Linked DNA regions of Drosophila melanogaster. The protein of the gene in region 2 purifies or fractionates together with the protein of the main gene of each other region. This does not show direct contact. Each region holds a gene or a part of one and is shown on either strand. Other genes may lie near its edges.

The links.
Region 1: the proteins of mago (region 2) and ranshi purify together in Drosophila melanogaster (affinity purification with western blotting, with the first as the bait; one study listed by BioGRID). This does not show direct contact.

What each region holds. Positions count from the first base shown.
Region 1 is NT_033777.3:8,727,777-8,731,783, forward strand, and holds ranshi (ranshi), read right to left. Parts: upstream 1,918-4,007; 5' UTR 1,885-1,917; coding exon 1,765-1,884; intron 1,708-1,764; coding exon 1,148-1,707; intron 1,096-1,147; coding exon 850-1,095; intron 791-849; coding exon 676-790; 3' UTR 591-675; downstream 1-590. Other genes in the region: CG8159 (uncharacterized protein), read left to right, coding at 1-195, 255-540; M1BP (motif 1 binding protein), read right to left, coding at 2,160-2,325, 2,591-2,836, 2,894-3,597, 3,666-3,806.
Region 2 is NT_033778.4:21,126,711-21,130,316, reverse strand, and holds mago (mago nashi), read right to left. Parts: upstream 1,741-3,606; 5' UTR 1,624-1,740; coding exon 1,363-1,623; intron 1,305-1,362; coding exon 1,122-1,304; 3' UTR 580-1,121; downstream 1-579. Other genes in the region: magi, read left to right, coding at 9-442; Tmtc3 (transmembrane O-mannosyltransferase targeting cadherins 3), read left to right, coding at 3,298-3,606. UniProt on the Drosophila melanogaster protein: Core component of the splicing-dependent multiprotein exon junction complex (EJC) deposited at splice junctions on mRNAs. Involved in exon definition of genes containing long introns, including the rolled/MAPK gene.

The DNA.
Region 1 (4,007 bases), on a different chromosome or scaffold from region 2:
GATGCACACTGGAGATCGCAAGTTCCAGTGTCGTTACTGTGACCGCACCTACGTCAACTACAGTGGTCGCCTGCGTCACGAGCGGACCCACACAAATGATCGACCCTTTATTTGTGCGCAGTGCGGCAAGAGCTTTACCAATTCCTACATCCTCAAGAACCACATGCTTATCCACACGGGCGAGCGCCTGTTCAGGCTAGTAAACTATGATAAATAGTGCTTAAGTTAATGATCACCTAGCCGATCCTTTGCAGATGTGAGCTGTGCCATCGATCCTTTGCGCGACCCACCCACTTGAAGACTCACTTCCGCTCTAACACTCATAAGCACAACTTGGAGAAATCGATGGCAGACGCGGGTGGAGTTCAGCTGTCACCATCCCAGTCAGCGGATCAGGTCAAATTCGTGACGGAAAAGGAGCCAGAAGCAGAGGCGGATGCCTTTACGATAGAAGTGCCTTTGCCCGCGGAGCAGGAGCAGGATGAGTCTTTGGGCCTGGCTGCTCTGGAAACATCCACTCTAATGTATAGTACAAACTAGACCTTAATGAGTCCATCTCAACCTTTAAAGCCAAATATAGTTCACAATTTGATTATCCGTTTTGATTTTTTTTGTAAAAATTCCTATTTTGGTAATGCAACCGTTTTCAACTAAGAGCTTCTTAAGTGATACCTTTTAGGGTTTATCAAAGATTGTGTCTGCTTTCTGCATGTTTCGTCTGTGAGCATTTGAACGATAATGGGTAGTAAGGTGTGTGTAGCGACTGAATAACTTATCGCAGAGGTCGCACCTGCAAATAGAATAGATTATTATTATTACACTTAAGTACTATTTCGAGTACCCGCTTACCTAAAAGCCTTCTCCCCGGTATGCACGAGCATGTGGTTCTTAAGAATATAGGATGTTGTGAAGGCATTGTTACACTCCTTGCAGACAAAAGGTCGTTCGTTAGTGTGAGTCCGCTCGTGCTTCAACCGAGTGCTGTAGTCAGAAAAGCTGCGGGAACAGTGTCTGCACTTGAAGGGCTTTTCCCCGGTATGCTTGCGAATGTGACGCTTAAGTTCCGCCGGCGTGCAGAAGCGATCCTCACAGAATCTTAAATGAAGCGGATTAGTTAGGATCAATCTTAAGTAGAATTGCCACTTACTCGCACCCAAACTCCTTGACGCCGCGATGTCGCTTACAATGCAGTATGAATGATATTCGATCTTTTATGTGATTTCCGCACTCCTCACAAAAGAAGGTCCTATTGGAGTCGCGGGGATTTCGACGATTTCTCCTTTTTTTGGGATTCTCAGAGTCTGATTTGAGTTCCTGCTTTGCATCTACTTCAGTATCGCTTTCGTAAATAAGGTAATCCATTTCACTATAATCAATATCGTCCTCATTATTGGGCTCGTCTTCGTTGATTTTAGATTCATTTAGAATGTCCTCCACTTTAAAACCGGAGCTTTGAATGGGCCCTTCATTGAGATCGTCTAATCGCTCGACTTCTATGCTTATTTCTGCCAGATCCAGTTCCAACTCCTCCTGCTCAAGGACACTTTTGGGAGATTCCTGGCAGATTCTAAGGAAGTCTTCATCATCTTGGGAATGGAGCAACTCCCTTTGGACTTCCAAACAGCGTTCCCTAAAGGATATGGCTTGTTGCAAACAAGTTTGGCAGGACGCACATAGTCGATTTGGCAACGTACTACAGTTCTTTAACTGTAAAGAGAAAAAACTTTAGAAAGTTAAAGACACTACGCATTATTATCCTCTCACCACAGCTCCAGTTAGTAGTTTGATGTGTTCCAGCGTAGTTTGATTGCGCTTTTCAAAAATATTCAATGATCTTTCAGCATTCGTGCGCTTGCCGCAAGTGCGACACACTTTTCCTTCCATTTTTGAGCCGATAAAAAAGTTTGAAACGCCAAACTTTTTGTAAACAATGCTATGCTTGTCAATCAGCTGTTCCGTTTGCCATTCGCATGGAAGCAATTTTTACAGATGAAATAAATGCTCATAAGTTGGGATTTGAAGTTTTGATTTATTATTCAATATTAAGTTCTACATATTACAATTGGTTTGTTAATTATTTGCAGAAATGCTCCTTGGCTGTGCGCCATTGTCGGTCTAGCATTGCCTGTAATTGCTATGTATATATTATAAGGACAGCTTTAGATGTGCAGGCTGTCCTCCTCCTCCTCCTTGAGTTCACGTTTCTGCTCCTGCTCCAGGACCTGTTTCATCTCGGCTTTCTCCAGATGCCGCTTGTGTACGCCAGACCGGAAGTGGGTGCTCAGGTGGGTGGGCAGCATAAAGGACTTGTCGCACAGCTCGCACCTTGAGGGGAAGATTCAGTATTAGATGGCATTTCAAACATTTCAGTAACTGTACCAGTATCACTAGTTTCATATTATTATAAGAAATTATTATAAGATAACTAAATATTACTCACGAAATTTGGCAACATAAGTAATATTTAGTTATCTTAACTCTCATAAGGTTTTGGAAAACTCTTGTAATGCCGCATAATATGATCTTAGAATTTCTAAGAAACCTAGTTATTGGGTTTCCCGGTACTGTGTAGCTGTATGACTCAACGTACCTGTAGGCCCGCTCGCCGGAATGTATCAGCATATGGTTCTTAAGGATGTAGCCGGTAGTGAAGGCCTTGCCGCAAGTACCACAGACGTAGGGGCGCTCATTGGTGTGGGTACGCTCATGCTTCACGCGCGTGGTGTAGTCTGTGAAGCAGCGGCCACAGTACTTACATGCAAACGGTCGCTCTCCGGTGTGCTTGCGCATGTGGCGTTTCAGCTCGGAAGTTGTGCAGAAGCGCGACTGACAGAGTCTGAAAATAAATCCATTTAGTCATACTGTATCCAAAAAGGAGTAGAAATGTACTCACTCGCAGCCAAATTGCTTGTCCCCACGATGGCGACGACAGTGAAGTTCAAAGGCCATGCGTCCCTTGATGTGATTGCCGCACTGCTCGCAGATGTATACTCCGCCGGTGCCACGACGACGCGCATCATCCGACCGGACCTTTGGCTTTGGCGGCAGACTACACTTCTTGACGACAATGTTTTCATGCTCGTACTCATCATCCAGCACGTTGTCAAGAACGGCCACCTCATCATCCGAATCGTAGACGTACGCGTCGTTGACGTCGCCCACAATTAGCTCGGTGTCTTCGTCCAGCTCCAACGTTTGCTGCTGCTCTTCGTCTTCGGCCATTATGGAATCATAGTCGGCCTCTTCAATCAAGGAGGCTGCGTCGTCCTCGCCGGCGTGTCCCTCGGCCACCTCGTAGTAGGTATTATCGTACTCTACCTTGGTGTCGTCGATCTCTTCCTTAGGTTCTTCCAATACGATTTCCTGATAAGTGGCATAGACCTCATCATCGTCGGGCGTCTTCACCGTCTGGACAATATCCTCGCCCATGACAGCCGCCCGGTAGAAGGCCGAGATGCCTTGGCGTTGCTCCTCGGTCAATCCCAAGAGTAGCTCACGCTGGGCGGCGATGCAGCGCTCCCTCAGCTTAACGGCGGAGGCCAGTTCCATGCTGCAGCATTCACATATCTGATCCGGCAGGCAACCGTAGTTCTCCAGCTAGATTAAACACCAATAAATTAAGCTATAACTACATAAATTCCATAAAGCCGCAGTGAAAAATTTACCCGAAGGCCTGTGAGCGCCTCAATGTTGTCGATCATCTTTGTGTTGCTCCGCTCGAATAACTTCGGCGACCGCTTGTTGCTTGCATACTTTGCGCATACGCGGCAGGTGCTCTTTAGGTGTTTCAGCGCCGATTTCGACATTTTTCATTCGCAATCCGAAATGAAATCGTTTTTAAGATATTTGTGAACACAAAAAATAAACGCGTCGCTTGTCAACTGCATTTGCCATTCACCCGGTGTTTCGTGTTAATATTTGCCATTCGCCCCGAAATAAACATATTTTCAGTGGCGTAGGCAAAGGGGTTCATATGATGCCAAAATATATATATATCCTCGAAAATG
Region 2 (3,606 bases):
GTATTAAGGGAAACTAATACCCGGCAGTCCGGCGGATCGTTGTGGAGAGCTCAAGGTGGGCGATCGCATAGTGGCAGTAAACCGCATCGAGATAGCTGGCATGTCGCACGGCGATGTAGTGAATCTCATCAAGGAGTCTGGTCTTCATGTGCGTCTCACTATCGGCGTTCCGCTGAAGGAGGGTGGTCCCAGTCCTGGCGGCAGTAGCGTCGGTGTGTCCAGCAACACTCCGCTGCAGGCATCTCCCAGTCTCCTGAAGGCACAACTCTCCCACCAGCAGCAACTTCCGCAGCAGCATCTACAGCAAGCGCAGCTGAATCACCACCACCAGCATCTTGAGATGCCAATGTCAATGCCCGTGCCAGGACATGGCAGCTATTTGGAGCGACCCAGTAACAATATCTCAGCCACTTTGGCGCTGCATCAGCAGCCACAATTATGACTCTGAGACCTACGCATTCGGCTCTATAAGAGCTTTCTATAGTGTTGCATCGCCTGCAGGCCCTTAGTTTGTACTTTCGTTAGCAAAGTACTCACCCCAAAGACTGAATTTAGTAGCATATGTAAGCCAAACCCTTTGCAAGTCTCAAAACCGTATGTGAGTGCGTATTTTATTCCAGTTTCTTAAGATACCGATCATTATCTTAGGCTAAGTTACTGCTTGTACTTAAACGTTAAGACAATTTGCCAGTTTGTGAGATATTAATCACTTAGCTTAAGCTGTTTTAGACATATACGAATTGTACAAATGTAAAGGACTTTAAATTTTTATCTCGAGTATGTATATTATTCAAACACAATAGATATTAAATTGTATTTTTCAAATATACCTACACATTATAACATCAAAAGTTAAATGGTTTACTATTGTGTTTGCTATTATTGTTAAACTTGTTGTCTGCTACTACATCGAAGATTTGCTATTTACTTCTATAGCACAATCTAGACTGTACACAAGACTTTGAAAACAAAGTATCTTCCAATCCTTTTTTATTCACTGCAAACTGTACCAAAAAGTACAAAGGTATAGCTTATACAATTACAAGTATCGTAGAAGTTCCATTATAAAATACGATGTGTCCGTCCGATAAATAGGCTATGCTTGAGGTGGTGGCTACGGCTTATATGGGCTTGATCTTGAAATGCAGGCCGATGAGTGAGAAGACCAGGCACTTGAGATCCTGCACCAGGTAGTAAAAGCATCGCAGGCCCTCGGGATCTTTTGACCGGTTCACGTCCACCAATGATCCCGTTTTCGAGGTGGTGAACGAGATGTGCTCGTCTCCGATGACGATCTCCAGTTCCTGAAAAAGACACATGGTTGTTTAGTTGAGCTCTAGTTACGGAGTGCGGCAAACCGACCTGTCGACCCACGCGATCTGGTGGCGGCCAGGGCAGATCGTCCTCCTGCATGATCTCCGAGTCGATGATGATTCGCTTCAGTTCTTCCATCACGGACTGGTGGACGAAGGCCTCCTTGCGGATCATGGTGTCGTTCTTGTAGTTGGAGTTGTTGGCGTACCGCAGCTTGCCATCCGGCCGGAACTCGAACTCCAAGAATTCGTGCCCGAACTTGCCCTTGTGTCCGACGTAGTAGCGTAGGTAAAAGTCCTCCGTGGACATGATTGCTTCTAGTTTAAAGCGTAACTTTGAAAGACTTTCAGAAAAATATCAATTTTTGGTTTCCCACTCTTTTTCCTTTACTACAACGCGTTAGAGATGGGAAAACACACGGAATAACTATCACCGCGTATCGATAAGTGTTCGCTGCGAATGGCTGGCAGGGATGAGGAAGAGAAGCCAGCCTATCGGCGTATCGATAACACAACAATAATCCACGTACAAGTCGCGCATTTGGCACTGATTTTTATTAAAATGTAATTCAGTTTTGGATGCCATGGAACTACCTCAACAAGTATGTGAACGACAGGGCGGTGTGTGAGAACCCATCTGTTAAACGGTGCTCGAAACTCGCTGGGCAACATTGTAATTATTGGCGAATTGAAACAAAGTTGGCAAATCGGGTTTGTTTGCGGCCGTGTGATTGTGTGCGTGTGCGAGGCCATCGCCGTTGTAATGGCGTCCATGTCACTAAAATGGGAGAGGACATGCGGCTGGCTCTCCGGTTCCAGCGCCCATAGCCATCGCCATGTCCTTATCCTTCTCCAGTGCCCCGTATCTCGGTCAAAGTAATTTTACAAAAACACACACGGCCATTAATTTGCGCTCGGCGAGCGGGAGAGCCATGAGCACGGAGAGCGCACGTCCTGGCAAGTGAAAGTGCAAGGATGCGGGACCGCGCATGTGTCGCTCTTGGCGGGAAAATGGAATAAGGGTAAACGGAGCACGTGCCCGCCCGGTCGTCCTTCGGGAAAAGTCGGTCGTGCAACAAAGTTGCGCTCAGCTGAGATGCAATCCTCTCCAGCTCCCGTTGAAGCTAGGCCCCTTTTTTCGCTCTTTACGAGCGCTTACTTCGCTTGTGGTGGTTTGTTTTGACTGAACGCCCGGAAAATCGATGGCATTGAGTGCAACATTGTGGCATCCGCCCATCTGCCCACCGATGTGCCCCGCCTAGTAATGCTCCAGGTCCCGCAACATTTACAACAGTTTATGCAAACAAATCTCTCACGCGCTCTTCGCCTCTCTAAAAGCGCTCTCCGTCCGCATACTTGTACTTGTGCGTACCCAAAGTCCGGATCCGGAGCTCTGTCGGTCCGCCCGGGTTACAACTTTGTTAACTTCGGGCTTTTGTGTGTGCAGTCGGTAACCAGGACAGTAACCGGGAAGGAGTTACTTTGTTGCGTATTAATTGATTTTTTCCGCAATCAGTTTTTGCTTCTTTGTATAACTTCAAGTGCTCATAAAAAGCGGTAGAAAGTTTGTCTTTAAAAAGACTTTGACTTGGGGGAAAATCGGTAAGTTGCGGATGAAGGACTATGGAAAGTAAGAGGATTTGGGTGTGTATCCAGAAAAGATGCGAGGGCTTACATATACATTACTGCACAATTTTGTTGCTCGGGGGAATCCCCTTTCAAAAAAAATATATAGATATGTATGTTGCCTACATTTAGGGGCTTTCTCACTAATAGGAAGTGTCTATACTTAAATTGGTGGACTTGTATACTTAATTAGTTTCCAGTTAACTTAAACTAATGGTTTTCCCACTTTCTCATTTTTTTCCAGGCCATCTAGGGACCTGCCGACCGTGGCTGGGTAAAGCCCTACATGCAACATTTCGCCGCCTGAACGAACAATTGTGGGTACATGACGCCTTTCACGAAGTAACGCGAAATCAACATGTCAACGAACCCCAACCCCGGAATCCATCAGTATGCACCCTCCACTTTGCCGAGGGAACGGGAGCGGGAAGGAGCCACAAACTCGCCGCAGCGCAACCTGCTCGAGTTCCTGTGTATATGCGTAGCCTGCATAGTCTGCTATTACAACAGTACTCAGTGCGGGCTTGTTTTCGATGACATCAGCGCAATCAGGGACAACAAGGATCTGAGGCCGCACACTCCGCTGATCAACGTTTTCCTGAACGACTTCTGGGGGACGCCGATGCGCAAGGAGCAGTCCCACAAGTCTTATCGCCCACTCACCGTG